4 linked regions of the Rhinolophus ferrumequinum genome follow. The protein of the gene in region 4 purifies or fractionates together with the protein of the main gene of each other region. This does not show direct contact. Links are inferred from orthologs where the notes say so. Each region holds a gene or a part of one and is shown on either strand. Other genes may lie near its edges. The genes, in order: TNKS1BP1, CNOT8, TNRC6C and CNOT1.

Region 1 (7,977 bases), on a different chromosome or scaffold from region 4:
AGAGAGTTGGGCGCTGGCAGTAAGCGTGGTCGAGGGAAGTCTCCTACTCCTAGCTGAGGCAGAGTGTGGGACAGGAAGAGGGAACTTCAGAGGGGATGAGGGAGGTCGAGGGAGGTCCCCAGCTGCCATATCCTCAACTCTTCCCAGATTCCTCTCCAGCTCTGGCCCCCGAACCCCAAAGTCCTGAAGTTTCAGGTAGCTACCTATTCTTTCCTCCTCTGGTGAGCTAAGATACCCCACTTACCGTTCCCAGGGTACCCCTTGGGTCCAGCAGCCCCACCTGAGGTATATACTCAGGGGCAGAGCAAGAGGGCCCCAAAGTCTTAGTCTTTCAGTGAATCACCTCATGGGAGACGGGAAAAACCCGCTCCTCCCCAACCTGGGGCTCCGCCCCACTGCCAGCCTCCCCCTTTCCGCTCACCCTCCTTCCCTCCCTCCCTCCCTCCCTCCTGCAGCTGGGAGTGGTTCCCTCTTTCCCTCTTCCCCCCTCCCCCCTCCTCCTTCCATATCCCTGCCCAACTCCCGCTTCCCTCAGAGCTGTCTCATCCAAACACGGAAAAATAAGGAATAAGAAGTAAACATCTGGAATACATTTTTTTCTTTAATTTCTCAATCGCTTTGGCTTCAGCTTGGAATTTGATGAGGTAAAGCCAGGGCCTAGTCCTGTTGCCATAGCAATGGCCTCCCACTGGATTTCCAGAGCGGAGCCAAGAGGAAGGAGGAGCCGGCCCAGGCCTGGGCTGGGAGAATGGGACAAGGCTTGAGGCTTGAGAACATCCGGGAGTGGGGTGGCTTGGGGGAAAACACTCCGGGGTTCCCCCTTCTAGGACAGTGAGGATGGGACAGCCACAGCCTATGGGCAGCCTTCACCAGCCTAGGGTTGGCCTGAGGAGTTTTGAGGGAGCACAAGAAATTTTAAACCAAGTGACACAGCCCTATGGTAGAAACCGAATAAGCCAGTACCAGGAACAAGCTTCAGGTTCTGATATGCGAGGATTCAATATTGGGTAGGTCTACCACTTTCTAGCTGTGTGCCCTTAGGCACAGCACTTACTTCTCCAAGCCTCAGTTTCCCTATGTGACAAATGGAGTTACTGAGACTGTTGGGAGGTTTATGGCAGTTGATGCATGCAAACTGCTTAGCATAACGCCCAGCACATAATAAGTGCCCAATAAATATTGGCAATTATTAGTACAATTCCATTCGGTGTCACCAATGAGCTAAAATCCTTGGTAACCACCACCTCCTCTCCCCAGACCATTCCCTCACTCACACAGGTCCCAGTTATGTCACCTTCAGACACTCCACCACCTCCTTAGTTCTCATCCTGGCTGCTGGAGCACCATCCCACCCACAACACCCGCACCCCAGGCTTTGCAGCCTGGGGGACAAAGTACTGCCCCTCTTGTCACAAAGGAAGAAGGACATTTCCTATCACCTGGTATGCACAGAGCCCTTGAGGACAACCCAATGGGCACTGCCTTCCTCAAAGTCACCCACTGCAGCTGGTCTGGGAAAACAGCACCAACTCCTAAGAAAGGCCTTCTGATGCCCAACATTTGCAAAACTCGCCCACCCCTCTCCTCTGACCCTGCCCCAAGTTGCTTCAAAGATGGCAGAGAGTATGAAGAGCTAAGTAGAGAGAAACCCAGGACCATCAATTCCCTTGGTCAACCACCTTCCACAGAGGACTGCTCACTGTGGGTGGGTAAGTAACTAACTGCACAGCCAGCCCAAGAGTGCATGGGGGAAGGGCACATGATAGAAAAAATAAAATTAAAACACAAGATTGTTTCCTTGTCCTTGAACATTATCACAAGGGACATGGTGTAGGTGGTTAGAAATGCGGACAAACTGGCCCAGAACTGAAAAACTCTTTCACCTGGGAGCCTGATGGGCACCTCTGCAGTATGAGGGGGTGCAGCAATGAAGTGGGGGCTCAGCTTCCCCAACTGAGGAGGGGCCACAGCAGCTCCGAGGCCCCAGCCAGGAAACGCAGGTGATCAAGGCCGTTGCCAAAAGCTGCAGAATCACAGCGGCTCTGAGCACTCCCTGCAACCTCCAGGAGTCAGGGGGGGCCTATCTGACCCCCAGGAGCAAAGGCTGCCACAAGGGCTGCGGAGAGGCCAGGCAGCTCCTGCCCGGGACAGGGGCCCCGAGAGGCATCCGCGCAGGCGGGGTCGCCTCTACGGTCCCTGGGATCTCCAGCGGATCCAGGGCCAGAGAGGTAGGCAGGGGCAGCACGTAAACTGCTGGAAGAGGGAGGGCCAACGGGAAGACGGAACAGCCTGGGGCGAGGGGCCTTCTGGAGAGGCCCAGTGGGGAGCTCTGGACACAGAGGGGATGGCAGCAGCCGAAGAAGAGGAGGAGAGGGTGGAGGAGGAGAAGGGGGTGGCAGAACGGGAGGACCTGTACGCAGAATGTGAAGCAGCCGGCGAACAGACGGGGGACTGAGGACGCAGACCGAGTGGGGGCGGACTGGGGTGGCTGGGGGCGTGCCGAGGGAGCCGAGGGAGGGGGCTAGCGCGGGCCCTGGGGAAGGGGGAGGCAGGGGTCCCTCCAGCAGTTCCGCCCGCCCCCGGCCCCGCCTCAAGCCCTCGCCCCCTCCCCCCTTTCTTCTGGATCGGCCAGCACGAGCTCCAGACCGTGCACCTTCCGGCCTCGCGCACATGCGCCAGCTCCCGCGTGTCCCCGGTTTCCCCCGCGCCCCCGGCCCCTGCAAACTTTCCCGTTCACCCCCCTTCCACCTTAACCCGAGGTCCCGGCTGAAAAGCACCCACTCCCTCCATGCTTCTCCCCCGCCCCAATCCCGGACCCCGCCCCCTCCTTCGCCCTCCTGCCCGCCCCCGCGCACTCACGCGCTCCCCCGGGATCCGGCTCCGCTCGGCTCGGGCTCGGCACCCCGACGCCAGTCTCCGCCACCGCCGCCGCTGCTGCCGCCGTCACCGGGGACCAAGCCAGAGCGGGCCCCGGCGGGGCCCCGCCCTCAGCTCCGCCCCAGCTCCGCCCAGGCCCACACCCCTAGGGCGCTTCATGAATATCCATGAGACAGTGAAAACCCGGAGTGGGAAGCCCGTGCAGAACTCGCCTGACCGTATGCAAATAGCAGCAGCCCAGGTACTCAATTATTCATGAATCTTGCAAATGAGGGGCCCGCCCCAGCCTCAGACCCGGGTAAAACTGACGCAATTCAGCCGCTAAAAACGCTGGGGCAAAATGGCCACCGAGACGACTGCCTAGAGAGGAGACTTAAGCTGACGGCCCGATTCTCAGGCCCAACGGCCTGAACTGATCGCAGTACCATAGAGTCGCGGCGAGAAAGAAGGTAACCCTTGGCCGACTGCGGAGGCTTTCTGTGGCAAGCACCTTAGAGCCTACCCAACGTGGCCACCCCACGTGTGTAAATTCAGATTTGGAGCCACAGTGAGGAAGACTGGAAGCTCTATTTCCCTCACTACTCCTTATTTATCTCGTTATGCTCCCTTCCCAGATATAAATTCTTCCTGACCTCAAAATTTGATATACCCTTTTTCATATAAAAACAAAAGCTACCTCCACCCCCACACCACTCATCGTCCCAACTCTCCAGGATCAGGTTTCCAGTGTCTTGGTTGCAGAGAGGCCAGTCAATCCTGATTCCATTATCTAAAGCCTTGAAGACCCTTGACTCATAGGTGATTAAGGATGGAGCCAGTAGCTGCCTCTCCTTAGCTTGGCTAATGGAGTGGAGCTGTGAGAGAGACTTCCTAATCAGATCAGCTCTCATTTCTAGACTCTCAGGTGGCCCATCCCTGCTGAAGAGGGTGAAAACCAATGCTTGTCCAGCCGGGAACAGAACAGGATGTACCTGGAGACTTGCTTCCCAGCTGGCCAGCAAGGCCTGCCCAGTCACAGCAGTGTGGTAAACACCACCAAGAAAAGTGGGCGCAATACAACAGGGCTAGAGAGGAGGCATAAGGACATGGTTTCCAAAGTCAGTTCCCTTTATTAAATGATTTTCACAGAACCAGAAATACAAAATTAAAGTAGAAATTGGCCCCCGTTAGGAGCTACAGGCCTGACCTCACACGACCCCAGCTGCAGCAACTTGAACAGGACAAGCAGCAGCTATATCCCTAAGGTCGGGAAAGTAGGGCGAGGATTTGGAACCTGCACTGCCCTGCCTCCCACCCAATCTCTCCCCCAGTTATGAAGAGGCATCTTCGTGAAGCAGCAACCCAGGAAGACGCCTCCCCTGCTGTCCCAGCCAAGTGCACACCACCAGAAGAGCTTGTTCAGATGGCACAGAATCCAAAGACTACACTTCATATGAGAAACTGGTACCAAAACATGAGTGGGGAGTCGGGTGGGACAGGGCAAGCCCAAGGAGAGAGTGTTTTCCTCCTCTCTACTCATCAGATCCTGACGGCGAGTCTTCTGAGCTGGGGGGAGTACTGGCTAATTCCTCTTCTTCAGAGTCCTGAAAATGAAACGTCTCTTTAGGGGAAAGGTGGAGAGTCCCGGCTGCCCTCCCAGCCACTTGTCAGTGGTGAAGGGCCCCTAATTCCCTACCGTTCCCTAACGTCCAACACTAGTCTTCAGAACCCCAGAATTCCACCTATCCATTCCATCCCATTACTGCTATGGACCAACCACAATCCCTGGTGCAGAAGCACCTGCTGCCACCCCCCATACCAATTCAGATGCCCTTCACCCTTCCAAGCCCCACAACCCCCAAACTCCTGCCACACCTCACTCTGCCTTCTCTTCTTTTTGCTCTTGTTCTCTCCTGAAGAGCTCTCGTCACTGGACACAAACTCTTTGCTCTTGAAACTCTCACTCAGCTGCCTTGACGACGACTTGGATGACGAGCCCCTAGAGGGCACTGACTTCTTTTCCATCTTTGCCTTTACTTTTTTCTTCTTCTTTGACTTGTCCCTATTATTAGCAAGAGGGAAAAGGTTTCCCCATCATCAAGGTCAAACCTCCCCCAGCTTTACCAGGGCCTTTCCCAGTCCCAGCCACACTGCCCATCTCGTGTCATCAGCCAGCCATGTCAGCCCAAGTGCCCCAAGAGAGAGCATCATAAGTGAAGAACAAGAAGAATCAGGCCTCACAGCCTGGTTATATGCAAAACTTAACTTGACATCTCTTGCTTTATCGTAAAAATTCGTATGAATTAGGCACCATAGTAACATATATATTTTTAGCTACCCCGTACCTTCAAATAAAATTGACCCTCTAGGAAAATGGGCCATATTTATCCAGCGACTTCAGAAACTCTCTAGCACAGTACCCATACTGGGCAACTGCCTACCCAGGTTTGAGAAGCACTGTCCTACTGAAGTCAGAAGCATCTCTGTTATATTTAACTTCCCAGTTCTCAACTTGGACCTGCAAAAAATATCTGTCAAAAAAGCAGTTACTGGGACATTCTGTTCCCAACACTCACCTCTTAGAAGACTCACCCCGGCCCCCTTCATATTCTTTCATGGCTTTTTCATATTCCCTCCTGGCATCCTCAGCCTTGCGATCCCACTCCTGTCCCACACACACAGGGGTCGGGGGGTGGGGAAGAGAAGAATTAGATTGTTCCCTGACACAGGCAAAACCTATACAGAAGTTCCACCAGGGCCCTCCACCCCCTCTACCAGTTACAAGATTTACCACCCCTCGTCTCTGCTGGTACTCACCTCCTTCTTCTCTTTGGACATCCCCTTCCAGATCTCGCCTGCTTTCTTGGAAAGATCCGTGATGCTGATGCCCGGATGGTCTGACTTGATCTTCTCTCGGCTGGCGTTGAGCCACAGCATGTAGGCAGACATGGGCCTCTTGGGGGCATTGGGGTCTTTGCCCTTCTTTACCTACACAAGAAAGAACCCAAAGGCCTTCAGCACTATAGCCCACATTCTCCCTCACATTCTCCCAAAGAAATTACTTGGATCCCCTACCTAGGGACAAAACAGAGCAAGGACTAAACTGCATCAAGCTGCCTAGGAGCTCCCTAAGGGCAGGGACCACGTCTTCCTCCCCTCTGCACGCCAGTACCTAGCTCATTAGGGGCCCCTTTCTTTTGGGCTCCCAGGACAAAAGAAGCCCGTCTCCTAGGTCAGAACTCCCAGAAGCTAATTATCTCAAGGACTAGAGAGAAATATTTGCAAGAAGCTACTCCTCAAGGCCCTAATCACTGGCTACAAAAAGCAGCCCCAACCCACAGGCCCTAAGGGTGGTGGACGGGAGAACAGGGAGCAGCACCCCAGCACCCTCCCATTCAGGAGAAGCAGCACCTCCACAGGCTTCTTGCGGCTCTTGCGATCCTTGGCTATCTTGGCCTTTTTAAGCTGTTTCCGTTTCTTCTCATCTCGGTCACTGTCACCCTCATTACTGGAGGAGCTGGCAGAGGCGTTGCTATCAAACCTGCCAAGGAGAGTGGGGCTTAGACTCACTCAGGGACAGAGGATGGCACCCCATGGTCTCAAAGCAGGAAAGGAGTCCAAAGACACCCACCCAGAAATGGGGGCGGGAGGACCACAGGGCCGCCTCCACCAGCATCCCCAACTCTTCCTGCCCTTCGCTGAGGTGGCTTCAACCATGCCCTCTCCAGACCCAGCTATAGCAATGGGTTATTTGGTCAATCAGTCAAAGAAAAGCAAACAGACTTCATCTGCTCCCCTTGGTCACAGCCTAACCCAAGGCCTCCTCCATCCCCATGCTCCCGGGAACGGGGACAGAAACGGTCTCAGCAACATGTCCAAGTCCACCTCACGACTCCGGGTTACTCCTCTTACTCTACCCTTAGTCTCTCTGATCAAGAGACAGTTACTATAAAAAGTGGGAAAAAACCAACTCCACTCCAACCCAGCCTGCACTGATGTTGTCACAGTCCTACCGGACACACACAGGACTCCTCAGAAAACAGAACTGCCCAAACCACACGGTGCTCAATGGTTCTCCCTTTCATAAGCCTTTAACTCACAGACTCACTATGAACAAGCACGTGGCGCCCAGAAGTAGTGGACTCCTATAGATTTTCTTCTTTTTCCTGCCCAACATTCATTCTGAGTTCTTCTGGATTCAGAGTCCCAACTTTCTGTTGGGAACCACCACGCCCCATGCAGAAGGGGCCAACCCCACCACAGGCCGTGGGCACACGGCCTAGTTCTAGCCCCTCAGAGCGTATCGTCATAACTCACACTTGGGAAGGGCCACGTAACCACGCTGCTTACTGCTGCTCTGAGCGCAGAAGCATTCCTGGGTGTTAAACGAGTAGGATTAAGCCTGCCCAGAGCTTCTGAGGGTCATCTGGCACTGCATGGGGCAAACCTACCAGAAAATAGGGAAATCAGAAGAAAGAGAAAGATTCCCCACAGCTGCTGAGTGCCTGATCCAGGTGCCTGAAGCCAGTCACACCCCTGGACTCTCGTTACATGAGCCTACAAAATCCCCTTTTAAGCTACAGTCCGTTCAAGTCCTATTTCTGACACTGGCTATCAAGAGTCTTGATCAACACAGCACGGGGGCACTATTGTCGTTTTACAGTTGAAAACGCTGAGATTCAATGATGGACCCAAGGACTCCGGCAAGTTAAGTGGGGCAGTGGCTCTCATCCCCAGTCTCTCCCCACTATACTTCTCTGGCTTCACAACATGCCGTGCACTTACAAAGTGCTTGACGATTTGATTTTTGAAGCATTTCCATCTATCACCTCACTGGAGGTCACTTTTCCACCCTGGGTCAGTAGTAATGCTGGGACACAAAAGATGTCCAGAAATCTCTGGTCCTTTAAGCTCAGAGGCCATCACGTCACCCCCATAAGGTGGAACCAAAACTCACTCCTCTGCCAAGTCTTCCTCCTCTTCACCTGGGTTAAACGACTCATCTGGAAAACGACACAGAAGGCATCAGTTGTGTGCCATGGAAACCCTGCCCCCTCACCCAGATACCCAGACCTGGACCGTCTGACCACCCCATGCCCGGGCACGGCCGAGGCGAGCCCA
Region 2 (7,710 bases), on a different chromosome or scaffold from region 4:
GAGGAAAGGAGGATGGGAAATGGCGGCTGAGGGGGTGCAGGTTTCTCTCTTGGGTGATGAAAATATTCTAAAATCAATTGTGATGAGTGCATAACTCTGTAAATATACTAAAAGCCATGTAAATGTACACTTTTAAATGGATATGTTGTATGGCATGTGAATTATGTATCAATACAGATTATTTGTAAAAAGTGTAAGAACAAATACAAATAAGTCCCCTTAGCTTCACTAGCAGGGCACGTGGTCAAAATTTTGGATGTTTGCCATGCTCATGGATGAGAAGTAATATTTTATTGTAGTTTTAATTCACATTTCTCTTTATGGAGGAGGTTCAACATCTGTTCAATTGAAAGTCCATTTATATTGATTTCTCTTTATCATATACTAAATTCCCATATATATTTTTAGGTGTATGTCTGGACTTTCTAATCTGTAATATATGTCTGCCTATTCATGGGCTAGCCACACACTTTTAATTATTAAAGATTTGTAATAAAATATGTAGTGGGATACTCAATAAAGTCAACTGTCCAGCAACTCAAGTGCCCGCCCACCAAACCCAGCCACTGTCGCAGGCTGTCACCTTCCCAGAAAAGTCATGCGTTATTTCAAATATGTAGAAACACTTTAAGTTTGTTGCAAAAACACTTAAAAAGAATACCAAGAAATGTGATAAAGAAGAGACTGAAAAAGTCCTGGGTCACAAAACCGGTAAGTGACAGACACGACGGAGAGATGGCCTTGAGAAAGGTATCAGATTTTGAGGCTCCCTGTCTTAATGATTTCTACCTGTAAATATACCTGTTGTTTGAATCACATTGAACAGCTTGCAAAATGCTTCGATTTCAATCGGCATGACAGATCCAGGCCATGTGTGGTAACCTGACTTCACAGAGGTTAAGGAAGCTGTCTAAGTAGGTAGGGGGCAGAGCCCTGGCTTCTGTCCTGGTTTCTTGGGGCCACGGGTTATTGGCAGTTAGGGAAGAGTGGGGGGTCCGGGGACAGAGATTTCTTCTGAATGAGACAGGTCGTTCTGGGGCAGAGTGAAGCTATTAAAAAAAAAAAAATAGATTTGTCACAGACCATACCTGAGAAAGCCAGTTCCAGGCAAAGTCCCCTTGCCAACCCCGATTCAGAGTAGCGATGCCCAGAGCAATTCAGTCGCTGGAGGTGGGGCCCAGGTGGTTTTAATGAGTAGCCAGCTTTAAAAATCACAGCTAGCCATTCCCCTTGACTTTCCTATTCCCTTGGTTGCGTGTAAAAATGACATCCAGACTCAACTGTGCTTTCTTTTTCCAGATGAAGGGAGAAGCTGGAAGTAAGCTACATGATGAGAAGCCTAAGCAGGTAAATGCCAGCACCCCACCCACCAAACTGGTGAGAATTTAGCCAGTGACTCTTTCCATGTGTGCGCTTGCTGCATTTGCTGCACATCTGACATCTCCCCCAGGGTTTAGGGGTAGCTGACACTTTGGTGATTTGCTCATTTCAGTAGCTGAGCTGAGACCACTTGACCCCAACCTGCTTTATAACCAAAGCCCCTTTTTCTGCACCACGGAGCAGCCCTGCATGAGGGTAGTGGCAAAACCCAATAGCTGTCCTGCCACGGTCTCTTGGCCCTTAGAATGTCCCATGCCTTGGGCCTTTGGAGCCACACCTTTCTAGCACTGCCCTGGGGACAAGAGAAGCCCACTGGGGGCTGGGAACCAACTCTTGATCTCAGCTCAGCTGCCTTCTGCATTGTGAGCTCCCGCACTTCACAGAGGTCTTTGTCCTGTGTATAGTCCTTTCACTTGGGGTGCTGGAGGGAGAGAAAACACCATAATCCCTGAAAAAAATCTAATCCTGTATGTGAAATTGAGGATTTCAACTTGACTTAGCTTGATGTGATTAAACTCAAATGAAAACTTCCTAGTGAGTTTGGAAAAGTTCATGAAAAGGGTCCTCTGAATCCAAGAAAAGGAATAATTTCAAAAGCCCAAGGTAACCTGCCTGACAAGCTTGGGGTGGTGACCTTTGAATGGCCTGTGTAAGAGAACAAGTTCCTATCGGCCTGTGGATCCAGCCCTGAGGGAGAGGGAGGGAAGAAGCGGGGAGGAGGGAGAGGGAGAAGGTGAGGGACAAGGGAGAGAGAAGCTCATTTCTAGATCTCAAGACCCAGATGAACACCAGCCCTTTAAAAACTTTCCACAGGCCATGGAAGATGACCTCCTTCTTTTTGGTCTTTTGATCAAGAGTAGAACAGGCCAGGCCAAGAAGAAATGACTCAGTGCAGATTCAGGCTGCTCTGAATGGGTCAGTCAACACAATCTGCTCCTTCAGATCTCAAACGTCTGGGTTAAAACGTAGTGTCTGTGCTGTTTGATCAGCTCCCCTCGACACCACCCCGACACCACCCCGACCCCTCGTAAGTGGCCCAGCTCCCTAAATACACGTCAGCCCAGCACAGAGCTATAAGCACCGCCACCTCCAGTTCTGTCCCATGGAAGAGCCTGAGCAGGACGGCTTCCTCTGGGCTTAGAAACAGGATGGGAGGGCCATTTGTAGTTCCTGTCCACGGCACAGGGAAACCCGTGACTCACCTGGAGGCCAGTGTTTTCCTTCTCCAAGTCTGGGAGCTCGTTTGAGCACCACACTTGCAATAACCTCTACTTTAGGCTCTTGGAGGAGAACAGAGAAGGACCTCCCAGCGACTGCCAGTGGTCTGTTCTTTGCCCTTAGAACCGCTCATCGTCCTGTCCAGTTGGCTGATCTCGCTGGAAGGCAGAGGGATCATTAAGAGGCAGAACATGTGTGTTCATTCACTCTTTTCTTCACGGGCAAGAGGGTGATAGGGATGGGAAAACAGGCCAGGCTCCTGAATACAATGAAGTCCCTCTGTCCTCATGACGGATTCTGCAGGTTCTCTGTGATGGCTGTCTCAGCCTTGCCTGCCCATTGGAATTAGCTGGGGTGCTTTTAAAAACCTGGAGGCCCAGGCTCCACCCCAAACACTCTATGTCCTTGGGCTGGGGAGGGACCTGGACTCCTGGATTTTTAAAAAGCTCCCAGGTGATTGCAATGTGTACATAATTGGGCATCTCAGTTCAACAAGAAGACAGCTGATGGAAGGCTGGGCGACAGACTTACCTGCCAGTGTCTCTGGAGCCAGGTTGGTTCCTTTCCCTCTCCCAACCTTGACCTCTCGTTTTCATAAACACACCCATGTACAGCCCTAGAGCTCGTGATAAGGACGAGCCTCCCACAGAAACTGGGAAAAGGTCACTGACGTGCAATGCTCGCGTGCTTGAGGTCCTGACTGCTTGTCACACCTGTCAGGCCTCAGCTGTGAGCTGTGAGTGAAGGCAGGAGGCTAGCTGGGACCTGACACTTTCTTATCCTCCCCAGGAGGGACATATCTGGGGCTCCATGAGGAAGACTGCTTTCATCCTGGGCTCTGGCCTTCTCTTGCTTGTGGCCTTCTGGAACTCAGTCACATGGTGAGTCTGCTCCACCAGCTTGAATTCAGCACCTGGGGACAGTGTGGTGGTGGTCTGGGGGCAAAGCGTGAAGTAAGGGGCTGTCCGCCCATCAATCTTCACCCAGAAACCTGATTGATTTTCCTTTCAAGGCATCTTCAGAGATTTTGGGGTGCTTCTGGCCACTTCTGGCAAGCTGAGTGGGAGAGGTTGCTGTCTACATTTGAAGGAAAGGAGTGGATCCTTTTCATAATAGGTGAGCCTCCCAGACCACCAGGGCTTAGGGTTTGCGTACGTGATCATAGTTTAACTCTTTTTCTATTGTTCTCTACCTTGGGACTCTCAGCTCATTATTACAAGGAATAAGGATTTAAAGTTTAAGACAGTGTAACCCCCAAACTGCTAAGCTTGTGGGCAATCTAGAACAGACGTCCAAGGCTATCCAAGAAAAGAAGTTGAGAAATGGAGATCGCCCTCTCCCCAAAAGTAGAAAAATGAAAACAAGAAATAGTTTGTGTGAAAATAAAGGCATGTTTCAAGCAGTAATGCTGCTTCTAGATGTCAGGTCCACAAGCGCAGAGAGCCCTTGTATGTCATGCGAGGCTGTGTCCTTCTACCTGGTGCCATCTAGCTTTGGAGGCTGGACAGCAAGTGGTCACTCAGTATTTACTGACAGCATGAATGGCTTGAAACAAGCCTAAGAAAACATAGTGGAAGCAAAAGCCATTTCAACATATTTATAACAGCATTATCTACAATATTGACTGTCCTCAATCATACATTTATTCATTCAAATGATATTTATTAATGTTACTCTGTGCCAAATTTGTACCGAGGATAGAGAGATGTTTAAGATAAAGTGTTAGTCTATCCCATCAAAAAACCACGTCACAATCTAAAGGGGGAGATAAAAAAGGGTCAGTTGTCACAAAGCAAAAGTACAAATAAAATGTCCCTGACGATTGTTTTCAGCTGGAAGGACAACTCTGAAAATTAAATATAAATAGGTTCCATGCAATCTTAAGTAGCCATTGAAAAGAATAATGCCGATTGCAAATGTATATAGGGAAAGTGGCAGGAAAACATTCTATATACTCCTGTTACAGTGATGGGAAAACTATCTGTCACCAAGGTGATAAGAAAATATCAGAGAGAGAAAAGTATTTGCAATTTTAAGTGTTAGAGCTTGAAGAAAGTTCAAGACCATTTTTTGTGGTTTGCATTTTGTGTTCCTCAAGGAACCCTTGGATTTCCTAGTAGGCAACCACAAACCTAACAATTTAAAGTGTGTTATGTCTGAACATAAAAGTAAATGCGTGCTCACTGTTAAAATAAAAACCAGAAAATTCAAATAAGCATAAAGCTGAAAAAGCACCCCTTCTCTCCCATCCAAGAAGTAAGCACTGTTAATATATTAATACAGATCTTAAACTGGATATATGGTTGAACTTATAAGACACCAAATTTTTTAAAACTTTTTTTTTCGTTAAATATATTGTGGACACTTTTCCATGTCAGTTAATATAGATTTACGTAACATTTTAAGCTGCCCAGTCCATTCCAATGTATGTAATTACTCTCATCTATTTAGTTCATTTCCTACTAGTATCCTCTGGGATATTTGTGCCAATCATATTTCCCCACAGTGCTGGCCAAGTATTTTTCAGGAATCAACTGCCACAAGGCAGTGTGGTGATGGAGGAGGGACACAGAGACACAGAGTTAAGTCAAATGTCCTTGTCCCTTGGATAATGAATTAAGAGGAGGGAAAACATGGACAAAGAAAGTTAATAGTACAAGAGTTACGTAACATTGCGATGTCACTTGATTAACTGCCAGTTGGGGTGGACAAAGTGCTTGTTTGTTCACAGTAGGACATCAGCGATACTTGGAATGACTTCATGGGAAGATGGGATGTGAGGCAAAAAGCTCTCTAAATGTCAAGTCTTGATCGGTATTTGCTAATACATCCTGCAGAACACAGTGCTGTGGGATGACCATATAATACATTATCCAAATAGGGACATTTGTGAGAGTAAATGAGGTGTTAATAATTATACTGGAAAGACAGATGTCAATCGACATAGTCCTGGGCAAACAGAGATGCATGGCCATCCTATTAGGTATTCTGAGAAAAGAGTTCTGGGGTTACAAAAAAAAAAAAAAAAAGCCTGGGAAAGGTTGAGTTTAACAAAGTCAAACAGTTTCTTTGCTGCAGGAATTCTCAGAGCTGTTAACACACTAGTCCCGACCATGACTCTGCAAGACAGTATGGTAGAAAAGCTGTTTAACCAAGAAGCCCCTTGAGAGAGAGTTTCCTGCTTTGGGAAATGCTGACTGGACACCTGAAGTCACACTGCTCAGTTAGGAGGATGACAGGCAGTAGGTTCCCTGACTGACTCCTAGTTCAGGGCTCACTGTGAACCATAACATACAAAGCACTTCCTTTGCTTCTCCCTTCCATGGAAATTCATAAAGGATTCAGTGGGTACGGACTTCCAATTGTCAACCTAAATTCGTTTCTATTTTAGAGCATATACTTTTTGGGGGTCTCCAACCATCTAGAATATTCTTGTCCCCCTTTTACAACTAAGAAAATAAGTAGAGACACTCCTTACGTGACTGTTCAAGTTCCCCCAGCTAGTTTGTCATCTAAGACTAAAAGTAGATCCCCTGGCCCTGTGCACCAAGACCTCCGTGGCAAGGGACTGTCCCCAGTGCCGCCTCAGTTACCATCAAGTGTGTGTCCAGTTAATCCATGTGCTGTGAGAACCTGAAGTCACCCCGATTAAACAACCAACCTTCTTCTGCTTTCCAACTTTAGCTGCCACCCAGGTGCCCAGTTTGTGCTTCTGGGGCTTAAATGGGCTTCTACTGGTGGTTGACACAACTGGGAAACCCAACTTCATCGCCCGCTACCGAATTCAGGTTGGCAAGAATGAACCGGTAAGTTGCTGCAGCAACTCCTGGTCAAAGCCCAGAAAGCAGGAACTAAAGCCACACTCAAAATTCTCATCACTGGCCCCTGAGACTATGGCCAGGGTGAGCCAAGTTATGGTGTACAAGGCTCCCCTGCTTTAGAAGGTTAGGGAGGAAGTAATTGGGCCCAAATCTCAGAGCCAACCAGCCAAGACCACTGTTGTGGACCCACGCTGTCGCTGCCTGGCTACCCCCCAGCACTCTGGTCAGCATTTTAGGAACAGAAATGATCGGCTCAGCCTGGCAGTGGGCTGAGTCCCGAAGATGTCAGGCAGCTCCACCCTCAGGCATGGGAGCAGGGACAGCAATGGCCGGATGCTGAAACCATGGTGACAGCTGTCATGAGTGACGGAGATAGCTGTGGAAACAATGGTGGACTCCCTATACCAGATGGACAGTACGGATTCTGAATGTGTGAGTGGTGGTTGTTTTCCAAGCAGGTCCTCCTTCCCAGTTACTCAATTCAACCAATCGTACTTAGTTTATCCCTGATAAACGAGGCTTGGACACTGCTTGCGACAAACTCCTTCCTGGCCCAGGAGTGGCCCCGGGAAGGGAGCCCCAGAGCTTCCTGAGCCTGCCTTACCTGCTTGGTGCTCTGACAACCTCCAGGAGACTTTTCTTATCCAACAAGGAAGAAGTTGATTCTTCAACCCACGTTCTTTGCCCGCTCCACCCAAATCACATCCTGGCTTCTTGCCCAGAGAAGAACATCTTTCCATGATCTGCCCAGGCGCCGGGGTGAATCACCTCCGTTCTCAGGGCATTCTGCCCCAGCCCAGCCCTCCAGAAAGCAGAATGGGCGAAACATGCTGCCCTTGACTCAAGCTTTCGCAAAGCCCCTTCTTGAACCAGAGCTGTTGGCCTGGTTCACAGTCCCCCTCACGTGGGACAAGAGTGGCCAGCCATCCAGGGGGCTTCCTCCAGGTCTAGCTTGGCGGGCGTGGACTGGATCCCAAGTGTCGAAGCCAACGCTTGGCCGTTAAGAGCCAAGCCAATCTGTCAGACCAGGGCAGTCTCCTTCCCAGCACCACTGGCAGATGCTTACATCTTCAAGGCCAAGTACTGTAATAACCTTCATGGTTCACATGAGGAAATGGAGGCTTTGAGATGTGACATAGGCAGAACCGTGCTTCACACTCAAGCTTTGTGATGCCAGGGCTCATGCTCTTAACCACAAAGCCACAGCAGCTCAAGATACACACCTAGCACAGCAACACCTCACAGTCTACACTGGAGAGCCACACAGGGAAGGTGTTGCATTCTGCAGAAG
Region 3 (6,930 bases), on a different chromosome or scaffold from region 4:
AAAACATGACTTGTATAACGCCATTCACGTTTTACAAGAATGGTTTTATTTCAGTGTTAACCACACATCAGAAACACCCGTGGAGCTTTAAGACCCACCAGCGGACGGGCTTCCCTCCAGACGGGTGATACGAGAAACCTCCTCTGAGGTCAGTACGTACTCCCTGCCCCATGCTCCCAGGTAATTCCCACGAGAGCCGGGGCTGAGCACCACTGGTTTATCTCATAAAGAAATGGAGACTCTAAGTGAACACAGACTAACACAACGGTCCCCCGTCTTTCCTGAAGAGGATGCATTTATTGCTTCTTCCTTCTCCTTTCCATTGAAAAGTGCTTAAGATATTTTTTTCTTGGATAGAGCGCTTTCAGGGAATCCTGCTTTAATTCTACACGGTGAAGGGCACTTAATGCCATCTGCTGTGAAAACACGAGTCTGATGACTATAAATGCTTTTTAACTTTTAAATAATAGAAAGCACATCCCGTACCTGGACCGAGCAGCGGCGACCGGTTCAGCTGGGCGCTGGCCTGGAGCGGTGGCGGCGGCGTCTCGACCACGCTCGTGTTGTTACTCGTGGTGGTGGCGGCAGCGGTGGTGACCGCCGTGCTGCCCTGGATGCCCGGGTTGTTCCTGTCCCACATGTTTACAGTTTTGTTGTTGTAGTTGCTTGGGTCACCCCAAGCTGAGGTACCATCATCAATTTCCATTTTGCGGCGAATGGATGGCGGAGAAGGTTCTTCCCAGCCCGTGGCCTCGCTGCTGTCCTTCTGTTTGATGGGGACCGGCCCCCCGATCCACCCTGCTCCTGTCTGTTTAACGGAAGCGGCTCCTCCCCAGTTACTCACGCTGTTGTCCTGGGGTTTGCTCGCCCAGTTCTGTTGGGGGCCAGGTTTTAAAGACTCTCCCCAGTTTGTCCCTGGATTCACCTTTGCATTTGTGCCGCTGCCCCAGCCACTGGTCCCAGACCTTGTAGCGTCATTCCAACCAGACCCTGATCGATTGCTGTCAGCATCCCATCCAGAGGCATTTTTTTTCCCATCCCCCAAGTGTCCAAGGACAGAAGACGAGTCTGCCCAATCCCCCCCTCCAGCACTCCAGGCGGGATTTGATTTCTGTCCATCTCCCCAGTTTTGAGATTTGGGCTTCTGAGGCTCACCCCAGGTGGGCGACTTGTCCTCCTGACTTACGGTCCCACTCCAAGCGTGGCCACTCTTGGCAGCAGCAGCATTAGTGACAGCAGTAGAGCTTATCGAGTCCCCCCAAACCCCTGGGCCGTTTGGCGCTTTGTTGCTGCTGTCTCCCCAACCTGTGTTTGCTGGCGCAGCAGCAGGCGGGGAGCTGACCCACCCAGATACTGAAGAGGTATTTGTACTGTTCATGATGGACCCATCGTTCTTCCCCCCTGAGTTTGAAGGCTGAGTAGCTGCACAACCCCAGGCCTCTGTCCCATTGTCATTTTTCCTCTCCGACCTCGGGGATTCTTCAAATTCCCAGGCAGTGTTTTGCTTTACTGGAGTCTGTCCCCATCCAGTATTAGACAGAACTCTTGGGTCGAGATCGTTCCTTGGCAGCTGGATGTGCCCTTGGTCTGTAATCCCCTTGTCCCGCCTTCGGCCTTCCGCCCCCTCCCTCCCCGTGCTTCCTTCATTGTAACTGCCAGAACCGTCGCTGCTGCCTTCACTGGCGGTGGTTGCAGAAGACGCAGCTTTGGCCCAAGAGTTCATGTGTTCACTGCCAGGCTGCATGGCAGGGTTCTGGCTGCTGACACTAGGACTGTCCCACCCTGTTGATCCTTTCCCACTGATGTCACTACTGGAATGCTGGTTCGGGGGCTTGCCCCACTCCCCATTCACACCGTTCGAGGTGCTTCGGCTGGGGTGGCCCCACGCTCCCGAATGGATATTACCCATGCCATTGCTGCCACTGCCCCTTCCCCAAGCGAGGATTCCAGGACCAGCAGGAGGGCCCGAGTCCCAGGCGTTCGTCCCATTTCCTTCCTTTTGCACAGCACTGCTGGATCCGTTTTGTTTAGCACTTAATGCTGAGCTCACAGTGTCTCCATTCCCCTGATTGAACCCCGAATTGCTATTTCCTGCGGCAGGGTTACCTGGGGACAGTCCCCACACAGAACTGCCGAGTCCCTCACCGCCACCCCCACTGACTTGAGAAACTGATGATCCGTTAGCACCAGCGAGGCCTTGCAGAGGGGGCGGGATGATGGCCCCCATGCCGACGGCCATGCCCCAGTTTGGCAGTCCGTTCGCCTGCATTGCATTGATAGGGTTTGGGGAAGAGTCCATGGGGTTAGTGTTATTTGGTCCGTCAGTGTTAAGGTTCTGAGGTTGTACGCTGAAAGACACATTCTGAGAAGTGGACGTTTGTGGTTCTGTGCTCTCTGGCGGCAGCAAGTTTCCCCAAGCACCTAAAGTGCCTGCTGGGGTCCCATTCGGGGTGCCCATGTTTTGACCTATGGCACTGACTGGACTGCAAATACTGGAAGGGTTGCCTGTCGCCACAGTTCCTTCATGTCCCAGTACAGGCCAGGCAGCGGGGTTGGCATTGGGATTAAGGTTAAGATTAATGCCAGCACTGGAGTTGGAAGCGCCCCAGCAGTTCTGACTTCTCCCATCTCCAATCATGTTGTCCATTTTCCCATCCCCACTGCTGAGAGAGCAGTGAGCCAGGCCGGAGCTGGCGCCTGTGGCTACGCCCCACACTCTGGCTGCGTTTCCGTTGCCGTTGGCTCCCCCTGCTCCAAGGGCACTGTGATTAGAAGGGCTTTGGACGAGTGCGCCGTTGGTGCCATTATTGCCATTTGTCTTCTTGGTATGTCCAGTGAAGCTGCCCTGGGCACTCCCTGTAGCCATGCTACTGTTCTCTGAGCCACAGTTGGAGGCAGAGTCAGTGTCTGTAGTACATTCTGAGGCAGATTCGGGCTCTGCTCCTGTGATGGAAGGCCACGCCTCCTTATCAGTCCTATCTATTATCACTTTATCCCAGCTGCAGTTGGCTTCACTTCTGTAAGTGGGCGGCTGTCCCCAGTGGGAACTTTCATAATGATCTGCCAATCCACTGTGACTGAGATCTGAAAAAGACGAAACATTCAAAATTAGATTTTCCTCCCATCTGTCAATGAATCAACTGTTAGTTAGTCTTTGGGGGAAGCTCATTATTTCAAGGTTTCAATTCTGAATGACAAATGCTAAAACACGACTTGAAGAAAAGTTATTTGTCCCCTTCACAGCTCCCATTTAAAACAGAGATAACGCTTCTCAAATCACAGTAATTGTTACCACCACACCAAACTGTCACTCCTCCGGAGAAGATTCACAATGCTCATTAGCACATGAGAGGCTATGAAAGCATCTGTAGCACAGACAGCTGCGTAACCGTAACCGCGATGTATAGCACTTCGGAAATTTATGCAACTGTACAACACCTATAAATACCCCAAATCTTTGGGAAACACTGGCAACAACAAGAAGTTCACATGGATGCCTCAATACAATGTGTAGTTCTCTTCAAGAGTTACAGTATTGTGTAGAGGCTACACGGCTCATTTAGTAGACAGGGATTGTAAATGCCTTGCAGAATCATATAACAGGACCAATGTTTTGGGGGTGGGGGACAGATGGGCAGGGAGAGAGGGAAAGAAGGAATGGGGGGAGAGAGGCAGGGGAGGGAGAGAGAGAAGGTATTAGAAAATGCTATCGTATGTTATCAAGGGTAGTAAAGGTTAGAAAGCTTTAATGACATTTATACTACTTCACCTGTTGTTACCAGCAATTATGCTTTATCACTGTTTCCTGTGCATCAACAAAGAATATTCTCAGCCCCACATCTGGTACCTTCTTTGATCTCTAAGGATTCCTTCTACAATTGCTTTCTATTTCCTTAAATTACAGTCTCTTCTTTGGAGATTCTCAGAATAATTTTATGTATCTTCCTAAAGTATTTATATCATTTCACTCTTATCCTTTTAAAGAATTCAGTATTTGGTACCTGCATTTTATCTCCTACGATTTCCGAATTATTTGGGTATTTCTAACACTGCAATCAAACTTATATTCCAATGAATTTTCCAGCAGACTTTATTTGAAGTATGTGTCCTTAAAAATGAAAAATATAAAAAAAAATAAAGTTACCTGTACATACAACAAACTCACGCAATTTGGAAATCCTTGACAGTTTCTTTACATAGTACGATATACAGATAATTGCAACAAAAGTTTTCTTCTCTTTTAGAACCTTTTCATCATTATGTTCTCTTCAAATTTATTTTAACAAGAAAAAGCTTACTCATGGAGAGTAAAACTGAGTTTCCCAAAAGAAATCTCTTTTAAAGTTTGATGGAGTTAAAAAAAAAAAAGAAGTATGTAAAGAATTACCACTATCACTGGAAAGAACATATTAAAGCTAACTTCAACCTTAAAAACAAACACAAATAAACAATTTTTGTTGCCTGATTTAAAAGGAATGTAATGAGTTTAGAATTATGCCCTAGGTAATTCTAAAGTAGGTAGGTATTCCAGGTGAACTCTGCAAAGGGGAACAGAGATAGGCAACAGAAAACTTTAAGTATCAAAAGTACTATAAAACAACTACGTTTTTTATCACCAAATATTAGGGGTTGGCTCTGCAACTCTGGTTTATGACAATTTTCCCTGTTGGTTTTGTACATACTATAAAAACCAGCTTATATAATAACTACATTAAAGAAATAAATGAGACGACAACCAAGATGGCGCAGTAGGTAAACGCTGAGCTCACCTTCTCACAACCACATCAAAATTACAACTAATCTACAAAGCGACCATTATTGAGAATCGCCTAAAATCAAACAACAGAAGCCTTTCAATTAGAGACGTGCAGAAGAAGCCACCTCCACACTGGTAGGAAGGGCAGAGACGTGGAACGGGCTGGTCCCTCACCCACGTGTGACCATTAAAGATCGGGAGGGATATTTCGGCTGTGGGCATCCCCCCAGCCCAGGGTCCCAGTGCCGGGGAGAGAAGTCCCCATCATTTCTGGCTGTGAAAACCAGCGGAGATTGTGACTGAGTGAGACAGTGTGACTGCACTCCCAGGCACTCCTGTTAAAGGGACCACACGGACTTACCCACCAGTGGAATCACTTGCTCTGAGCTCCAGCGCTGGGGCAGAGGCAGCAGGAACAAATGTTGGGGAACTGAGTTGTCTGGCTTGGGACGGGGGCTGGAGAGGCGGCTTTCTCCGGGATAGGGGAGCTGGTGGAGGCCAGTGTTTCTTTGTCGAGCCCTCCTACTTCCCCACCTGAGTCTCCCTGGCAATTTGAGACCCCAACCCGTCCTGCCCCGCCCCACCCCACCCAACATTCTGGCACACCCAGGCTGCTTTCAGTGGCTTTTTCATGCAGACCTCCTGAGCCTTGGCTCAACCTGCAGACTTTCGTGGAACCTAAACAAGTAGCATCTGGCTTGAGCGTGTCCTGTACCTCTGGCTGAGCAGCCCTAAGCCGGCACTAGGGGCAGCCGGCCTTGGTTTGTGGCTTGGCCTCTCAAGGCGCTTCCAAGTAGAGCACGGGCGGCAGACGATAAGGATTTCTTTCTGGCTCCCGCTGGGTGGCCCCAGGTGGGGCATGGGCTGTGGCTGAACTTGACCTACAGCCGATCCCCTCCGAGGTGGTCCTTGGGCTGGCGCCCCCAGTGGCCAGCTTCAAAACGAGCTGGAGCATCACCCAGCCGCCTCCAAGTACGACACACCCAAGGAGCAAATTGGACAGGCACCAGAGCCCTGCTAAGGCAGCTCCTGCTCTGTAGGGTCAGCCCCTGCATAACCCTTCCACTGGAGTCAAGGCCAGTCCTCACAACCAGTGAGCCCGAGGGTCAGTCCCTCCCACTGATGTGCAATTATCAACCAAGGCTCAACTACAAAAGGAGGGCGCACACAACCCACACAAGGGATTCACCTGGAGCACGTGGCTCAGGTGATCAGAAAGACTGCACCACTGAACCCCATGGCACACCTACTACAGAAGGCTACTCTACTAAGACCAGAAGATATAACAGCCCTACTTAATACATAGAAACAAACACGGGGGCAGCCAAAATGGGAAGACAAAGAAACACGTCCCAAATAAAAGAACAGAACAAAGCTCCAGAAAAAGAGCTAAGCGAAACAGAGATAAGCAATCTATCAGATGCTGAGTTCCAAACACTGGTTATAAGAATGCTCAATGATCTCAATGAGAACTTCAACAGAGAGATAGGAGGCATAAAAATGGAGATGGAAACCATAAAAAAGAACCAGTCAGAAATAAAGGCTACAATAACGGAAATGAAGAATATGTCACAGGGAATCAACAGTAGATTAGATGAAGTAGAGAATCCAACCAGCGACGTAGAAGGTGGCAGAAAACACCCAACTAGAACAGAAAAAAAAAAAAGGAATCCAAAAAATTCAGGAGAGTTTAAGGGGTCTCTAGGACAATATCAAGCATACCAACATTCGCATGATAGGGGTACCAGAAGGAGAAGAGAGAGATCAAGGAATTGTAAACCTATTTTAAGAAATAATGACAGAAAACTTCCCTAACCTGGTGAAGGAAATGGACATACAAGCCCAGGAAGCACAGAGAATCCCAAACAAGATGAACCCAAAGAGGCCCACACCAAGACACATCATAATTAAAATGCCAAAGGTTAAATACAAAGAGAGAATCTTAAAAGCAGCAAGAGAAAAGCATTTAGTTACCTACAAGGGATCCTCTATAAGACTGGCAGCTGATTTTTCAACAGAAATTTTGCAGGCAAGAAGGGAGTGGCGGGAAATATTCAAAGTGATGAAAAGCAAGGACCTACAACCAAGATTGCTCTACCCAGCAAGACTGTCATTTAGAATTGAAGCACAGATAAGGAGCTTCCCAAACAAGAAAAAGCTGAAGGAGTTCATCA
Region 4 (7,379 bases):
GTTCACTCAATGGTTAGAGCGGTTCACTCAATGGTTAGAGCGCAGTGCTCACAACACCAAGGTCAAGGGTGTGATTCCCACATGGCCCAGTGGGATGCGCTCTCCCCCCCCCCCCCAACCAAAAAAAAACTAGACTGAAAAAACAGCGACTTGACTTGGAGATGATGGGTCCTGGTAAAACACAATGCTCCCCAATTGAAAAAATAAAAAATTAAAAAGAAAACGGAAGCACATTTCTTCAAGTCTACACTCCCAAAAGCTGCTTTTTCTTCAATCTCAACAGAGGATTTCAGATTAAGTCTACACCTCTAATTACTGACATCTCAAACAATGCTTTTCAATGAACAATATGTTTTATTTGCTTTACTACACCCTTACAAAGGTATATGTGAAAAGTACATTGAAATAAACTATTGTGTATACACAGGACAAAAGGATTTGAGGCCATTTTAATTTTGAAACAGGCTTCTTAAAAACTGTAAGCAAACAGAAAAGGGAACTGCAGGATTTTTCTATATACAGTATAAGGTCTTAAAATAAGAATCAGTGGGATGCCATTTTGAAACTTCCCAGCAGCAAGTTCAGTTTGGTGAGAGGGCCATTTAAGAAATGCTTGGCTAATATTTTTCAATGACTTGAAAGTTAGTTTTGTTCTTTCATAAAAGAATATACCACATTCATAAAATATAGTGTTTCAAAATGACGGGCTACAATACTTGTTAATTCAAGAAGCACAGGCATCTAACAAAAAAAATTAGTGTCTTAAAATATATGAGCATTCAATTATAATCATTGTGGACAAATTCCCTTCTGGGGCACTGAGTGCCAAAGATCTGTTACTTTGTAGAATGAAGTAAAGATTCCAGTTCATAAATTTAAGCTGGTTAAAAGGAAAGCTTTTCCTAACTAAACCAGAATCTAACCAAAAACATACTTGGAAAAAGCAACATGCAAGAATAATGACATTAGTCTTTAAGCATGTTTTGATGAGATAGCAAGCATTTCCTCTTCTGTCCCCACAGGTTTGTTTTGTTTTCAATGCTCTAACCCAAAGTCAGGAGGATATCACAGTACTTAGCCTGACAAGATCCATGTTAAAGAGACAGGATTTAAACCCTCACAGAAATTTAGTGACTAGAAATAGAGTATTTCAGTTGTTCCACCATGCCTCAAAACTTCTGACTTAAAACTTCTAAGATTACAATCTTAGGCAAGAAAGGGAAACACTTTCAGTTATTAATGGTCAAGTCTTTGTGCCTTGATTCTAAACTTAAGTTTCTACTATAGGACTTGGGATCCACACTTGTTGAAAAGGGACAAACTCTCCAAACAAGTTTTATCAAGAAGCTACCATTTCAGAGCACAACTAGAGGTCTAAAACTTTATGTATCATCAGCTCATTTTCTCCTTAGACAAGGTAACAATATGCAGTCTCCTAAAACATGATTATTTAAACTGTTACCATATATATATTATTAACAGCTAAAATACTATACTGCCAATCTTTGGAAGGGTAGAAATGTCAACCTGGGCCACAGATCACTAACATTAAAACCAAATATGTCTACAAAAACAAGTTTCTTCTTAACCTGTTTCACCTACTTCCAAATTTTTTACTTGTCCTCCCGTTTTTTCATCCATTCCTATCAGACTGTCATAGGGAAATGCTCGAAATTTTTTTTGCAAAAAATACTGAAATTATATTCTCTTAATTATTTACTCACTGTTAACATAAATCCCTCAAGGCAATCGAATTATAAATAATGGAAGGTGGAGATTAAGTATTATTACTCAGCTTTCAGGAAGAAAACTGACTTTAAGAGACCTGAGAAATGTGACAGTTCATTGAGTGACTTCAGGGGAAAAGTTTACTCCTCCAAGTTTAAACACATTTTCAAACACCGTTATCAAGCATTTTCTGTTTTTAACCCAGAAAGCTTACTCCTCGTGGTGGCAATTATCTGTGTGAGCCCGGTTAGGTGAATTCTGCGGAGGAGGTGGTACTTAAAAAGGACACTTCAGTCTGTGAAATTTCAATATTGTTTGGCCTTCGGCAACCCTACCAAGACCTGTAGTAAATCTCTCACCAGTATCGTGGCCTCCAAGGGCTCAGCTCACTAGGGGGACACTTCCCATGGGTGAGCACAACGGCCACTTTAGCACAGACACTGGACCAAGTGGGTGGGGGCCAACTTCGGAGAAAGTGTGAGCCGCGGGCGCGCGAGTGGAACAAAACCTGTGGCAGAAGTAATAAGGAAGTGCTCGCTCCCGCCCGCCCCTCCCACCCGCAGGGACCCGAAACACCCGGGGTTTGACAACGTGCTGGGGGCGGGGGGAGGGGGACTGGCAGCTCCCAAGTCGACGGGAAAGAACTGGGAGCCTGCAACTACTCCAAACACAGTCCCCTCGCCCCAGGATCTAGGCCTCGGGGGCCAATGCCCACTGCACCTATCCGAGAGCCCAGGGAGAAAGAGGCAGTTGAGGAGCTCGTGGGGTCTGAGGAGGGTGCAGCCCGCGCGAAGTGAGGCCCTGCCGTCTGTATTACCGCCACCGTCGCCCTCAGAGTCTCCAGGCCCGGGCCGAGGGCCACCAGGTCTCACCCCGCGCTCTGCCCTCTGCTTTGGGGAGCCTTCGCCCTGGCCTCTTCTCTTCGCAGCCCAAACACTCCGCCAGCCAGGGGGAGAGAGTCCGACCTCTCCCGTCTCGCCACTTCCCCGTCCCGACCGCCCCTCACTCCGCGGAGCTCCGGTAAACGCTCCCAGTGGCCCCGGGACTACTACCCCCAGTCCTTCCCCCCTCAGCACCCGCGTTCCGTAGCTGACACCGCCAGCCGGCCTTAGCCCACCTCACCTCAGGCGGCTCCGGCAGCGCTGGACACAGGAAACTCCTGGGTCCCCGACTCCGGCTCTCCTCGACCCCCTCCTTCGGTTAACTCCGCTTGTTTCTCTACAAAATGGCGCCGGAGGTCGCGCGCTCACGTCGCGGCCTTTCCCCTCCCCGTTCTCATTTCATCATTCGCTGCCCGCCCGAGGAGGGCTGGTCCTAGCACCAGCCAATGATCGTACCCCGCCCGTGGCACCCGCCCAATCACCGTTAGGTGCCCGCGGATTTAAACCAATCACACACTATCACTTGCAGAAGTCAAGGAAGAAACCAAGCTCCTGCTAGCAACTACCAATCCGGAGTCCTACTTCGAGGGCTTTGGCCAATTGCCGCTTTCCCGTCCCTAGGGACTGGAGTCAGAGCCCTTGCGCCTGCGCCCGAGCGAAGGCCAATGGGGAGACGCAGATAACTTCGATTTGGGGCTTCACGGACTTCCCACCTGCCCTGGAGGTCTTTCACCATTGTGGGCCGTGGGACTGGCATTGCCTCTGAGAAACAATAAATAAGGAAGGGGGCCCCATAAATCCTCGCCACTCTGCGCGGGAACTACTTTGAATTATACTGGAACAGCCTTCCTTCACTCCTTTCTCTTTCCACTTGTCAAGTCCAGTAGACTGGGGGGCTTCCCAATCTTAAACATCCCCCTACCCTCGCGTCCCTTTGGCGGGGAACGCCAGCCATCAGAAAGCAAGCCAGTCCGTAACTAGAAGGGCGACGTTCTGCGTCCCGGGATATGCAGTATTCCTCTCCCTCCGGCCCATTCCTGTCGCAGAAGTAATGCGTCTTTTCCCGTCACTTACTGCGCCCGGGGAGGAGCAGTGCATGCTGGAGAATGTAGTCTCTCAGGCCCCACTGGGTCCTAGCTTGCCTCACTTTCATCAAGACAACTTTTTCTTCTCATTCTACTTGTTGAAGAGGGGACCCCTAAAAGAGAGATAGGAAGCTAAAATTCTCGTTTGGTTTATGCCTTGTAAGCGGTACCAGAAAGGATACCAGTGCCATTTGTTCTTGGGAGAAAAAACATAGAAACATATCTTTTTCTATAATGTATTTTCTTTTATTCCCCCGCCTTTCTTCCGCCTCCCCGCCCCCACTCTGGTTCAAGCTTTGTTTCTCAGTCTAGTTGTGTAGAACACAGCTCCTCTGCCCATGCTGGTATTATGAGCCTTGCACTCCCCCACCCCTTGCTGAGGCAGCCAGTCGCTGGTTATGGTGGGCCACTCACAGCAGCTCACTGGCAGCTCTCACTGGCTGCCGGCTGCTCACGCTGGCTGCCGACCACTCACTCTGGCTGCTGGCCACTCATGGTGGCTGCTGGCCACTCCTGGTGACTCACGGTAGCTTAGGGCAGCACACACAGCAGCCAACAGCAGCTTATGCCAACCTCCAGCTGCTCACAGCAGCGCAGCTCCAGGGAGAGCCATTGTTCACAATCTTAGCTGTAGACCTAGGGCGCAGCTCACTGGCCCATGTGGGAATCAAGCCAGTGACCTCGGCTTTAGGAGCACGGTGTTCCAACCACCTTAGCCACCAGGCTGGCCCTAGAATGTATTTTCTATAGTAGATGATAAGATTTTATGCTCATCTGTTCCCAGAGGAGGACGGGAGCACTGGAAAGGAAGCATTGACTGGTTGGCACTTTTACCTTTCAAAAAAAAAACGTATCTTGGGCAGGCCCAGTGGCTCAGGCAGTTGGAGCTCCATGCTCCTAACGCCGAAGGCTGCTGGTTCGATTCCCACATGGGCCAGTGGACTCTCAACCACAAGGTTGCCAGTTAGACTCCTAGAGTCGTGCAAGAGATGGTGGGCTGCGCCCCCTGCAACTAACAACGGCAACTGGACCTGGAGCTGAGCTGCGCCCTCCACAACTAAGACTGAAAGGACAGCAACTTGACTTGGAAAAAAGTCCTGGAAGTACACACTGTTCCCCAATAAAGTCCTGTTAAAAAATAAAAAATCAAGTGTCTTCCTCATCACCCCGTTTTGAGGCTAAGCTCAGAAGCACTACCTTTTGTGCCTAAACATACTTTATTATTATTATTGTGGTAAAAACAGGTAACAAAATTTACCATCTTAACCATTTTTAAGTGTACCATACGTTGGTGTCAATTAGATGCATATTGGTGTGCGACTGACCTCTAGACCGTTTCATATTGCAAAACTAAAATTCTATACCCATAAACAACTCGTTTCCTCCCTCAGTCCCTGACAACCACCATTCTACTTTCTAAGATTTTGACTGCTTGAAATATCTCATATGAGTGGAATTATGCACTATTTGTCTTTTTGTGACTGGCTTATTTCACCTAAAAGTACTTTTTGACACCTGCTTTTCCTTGGTTCGAGGCCAACTCTTTCAGCAAACATTTACTGCGTGTCTCGTGTTTTCAAGCAACTGAATGAGACTCAGGACCTCACATACAGCAAGGACAAGGATTGCTTTAGTCTTGTTCCGAGCTGTATTCCCAGCACCTAGCACAGTGCCTGGCACATGGCAGACATGAGCAAATAAGTGCTGAAATATCAGGAAACAGAGAAGTAGCTTTATAGAATTACAATGTTAGTGATAGAAAAGGCCTCTTTAACAGACCAAGGATGAGGAATAAGGTCCTTCTTTTCAATGCTGCTGTAAAAAATTGCTAAAAACCTCTATGGATAGCAGCCATTTTGACCAAGTTTATCAAAATTGAAAATGCACAGACCCACCGACCCAATAATCCCATATCTAGACATTTATTCTGCAAGTGAATATTGCAAATTTGTACAGAGGTGAATGAATGTATCAAGATATTCACTCATGAGGAGTCTCACCTTAATTCCAGGGTTTGTCATCAGCATTCACCCCTCTCCCCTCCCCACACACACGGCCTTTCAGTCCAGGTGAGGGGATTATTCACCTGTTCAACAGCATCTACTGTAAGCATATTGAGCATTTGGGACACTGGGAAGACAAAGCACAGTCCTGGGAGAGTTTGCATTTAGTTATGGGAGAATGGCAATCAGGGAGATGAAGGTCCAAGAGGCATCACCTATGGAAAAGCTGTCTTGATTTCTTACAAGTTTGTCAAAACAAAAAGATTTTTAAAAAGATGGGGGAGAACAGGTTGCATAAGAGTTGAGATCTTTTTCATTTGGGAAGAACCTGATTTAAAACAGCCTGGGTAGAAAAATTAGAACCAGAATTGGAGAGCTCTATTTTCATTGGGTTCCTCACTCCAGAATTGGTGCTGATCCTTCCTCATCCCTCTGTTCCCTGGTACCTAAGGTTTAGGTGTGGTGTCACCAGACTGTCAGGCCCAGCTTTGGGCCCAGGCTGCCCGATCTGAGCAAACCAAGTGGTTTTATTGAGCCAAGTCCAGATCCTCAAAGCAACTCAACCACTGTGGCCTTCTCTCCTTAGCCTGGACCAGTGTGGTGTCACATGGCCAAAAAGGGACATACCAGTGACAAAAGACTGGTTCAGACTGTTAAAGTGGTAAAGTGAGTGATCTCAAATCCAATGACAGAGGAGAAAACAGGCTTAGACAGGACAACTCATCTCCAGTCATAGATTGTGGCAGAACTAACATTTGAATTCACTTTCGTTTTTTTTTCCCCCCTTCTTCCCCCCCTCCCCCGCCCCACTCTGGTTCAAGCCATTGTTTCTCAGTCTAGTTGTGTAGGACACAGCTCCGTGGCAGCTTGCGCCAGCCCAGCTCCAGGAAGAGCTATTGTTCACAATCTTAGCTGTAGAGGGCGCAATTCCCTGGCCCATTTGTGAATCAAACTGGCAACCTCGGTGTTAGGAGCACCGCGCTCCAACCACCCCAGCTACCAGGCGGGCCCAGAACTCACTTTCTGAAAACTCCAATTTCTTTGTTTATTTTTGTTTCTTTCATCTTCCTACCACTTATCTGGAGGCATTTTCTGTAATTAGGCCCAGTATCAGTGTCCTTTGTGTGCCAATTTTGTTATCCCATTCCGATGAAATAAAGTTAAAAAACAAAGTGAATTTTGACCAAAAAAAAAAAAAAAAAAGATATCCACTGCTGCATTGTTTATGAGGCTCCAAAAGATTGGAAACAATACGGAAGAGGTTAAATAAATGTATGGTATTGTCATACGGTGGAATGCTATGAACTCTTTTTAAAAGAATGAGGTAAATCTATATGTACTGTTATGAAATGATTCCAAGATATATTGTTAAATACAAAATTTAAGTGACCAGAAAAAAAAGCGATGGCATAATCTGTATGTTACCATTTGTGTAGGAGAAAATAACTGTCTATATCTACATATAACTAAATGCAAAAAAGGTTTTGGAAAGATACACACACACACACACACACACACACACACACACACACACACATCATAACTGACACCAATGGTTATCCCTGGGGAGTGAAGTGGAATGAGGAAGGGTAAAGCGAACTTTTGCTTTTTATTCCATATATTACTATACTATGTATTCGAACTTTTTACCAAGAGGATGTTTTATTTGTGTAATTTAAAAT

Evidence for each region.
Region 1: the proteins of CNOT1 (region 4) and TNKS1BP1 purify together in Homo sapiens (affinity purification with mass spectrometry; 5 studies listed by BioGRID and IntAct, with this or other methods). This does not show direct contact. The link is inferred for Rhinolophus ferrumequinum from reciprocal best matches to the Homo sapiens genes CNOT1 and TNKS1BP1.
Region 2: the proteins of CNOT1 (region 4) and CNOT8 purify together in Homo sapiens (co-immunoprecipitation; 5 studies listed by BioGRID and IntAct, with this or other methods). This does not show direct contact. The link is inferred for Rhinolophus ferrumequinum from reciprocal best matches to the Homo sapiens genes CNOT1 and CNOT8.
Region 3: the proteins of CNOT1 (region 4) and TNRC6C purify together in Homo sapiens (co-immunoprecipitation; 4 studies listed by BioGRID and IntAct, with this or other methods). This does not show direct contact. The link is inferred for Rhinolophus ferrumequinum from reciprocal best matches to the Homo sapiens genes CNOT1 and TNRC6C.

The regions. Positions count from the first base shown.
Region 1 is NC_046294.1:11,763,801-11,771,777, reverse strand, and holds the start of TNKS1BP1 (182 kDa tankyrase-1-binding protein), read right to left. Parts: upstream 3,014-7,977; 5' UTR 2,860-3,013; intron 383-2,859; exon of another isoform or gene 245-382; intron 1-244. Other genes in the region: FACT complex subunit SSRP1, read right to left, coding at 4,389-4,460, 4,732-4,918, 5,433-5,521, 5,674-5,844, 6,268-6,397, 7,814-7,859.
Region 2 is NC_046307.1:25,680,781-25,688,490, reverse strand, and holds the start of CNOT8 (CCR4-NOT transcription complex subunit 8), read right to left. Parts: upstream 3,013-7,710; 5' UTR 2,583-3,012; intron 1,348-2,582; coding exon of another isoform or gene 1,300-1,347; intron 1-1,299. UniProt on the Homo sapiens protein: Has 3'-5' poly(A) exoribonuclease activity for synthetic poly(A) RNA substrate. Its function seems to be partially redundant with that of CNOT7.
Region 3 is NC_046304.1:52,115,913-52,122,842, reverse strand, and holds the start of TNRC6C (trinucleotide repeat-containing gene 6C protein), read right to left. Parts: upstream 3,005-6,930; 5' UTR 2,867-3,004; coding exon 487-2,866; intron 1-486. UniProt on the Homo sapiens protein: Plays a role in RNA-mediated gene silencing by micro-RNAs (miRNAs). Required for miRNA-dependent translational repression of complementary mRNAs by argonaute family proteins.
Region 4 is NC_046298.1:10,854,781-10,862,159, forward strand, and holds the start of CNOT1 (CCR4-NOT transcription complex subunit 1), read right to left. Parts: upstream 3,004-7,379; 5' UTR 2,851-3,003; intron 1-2,850.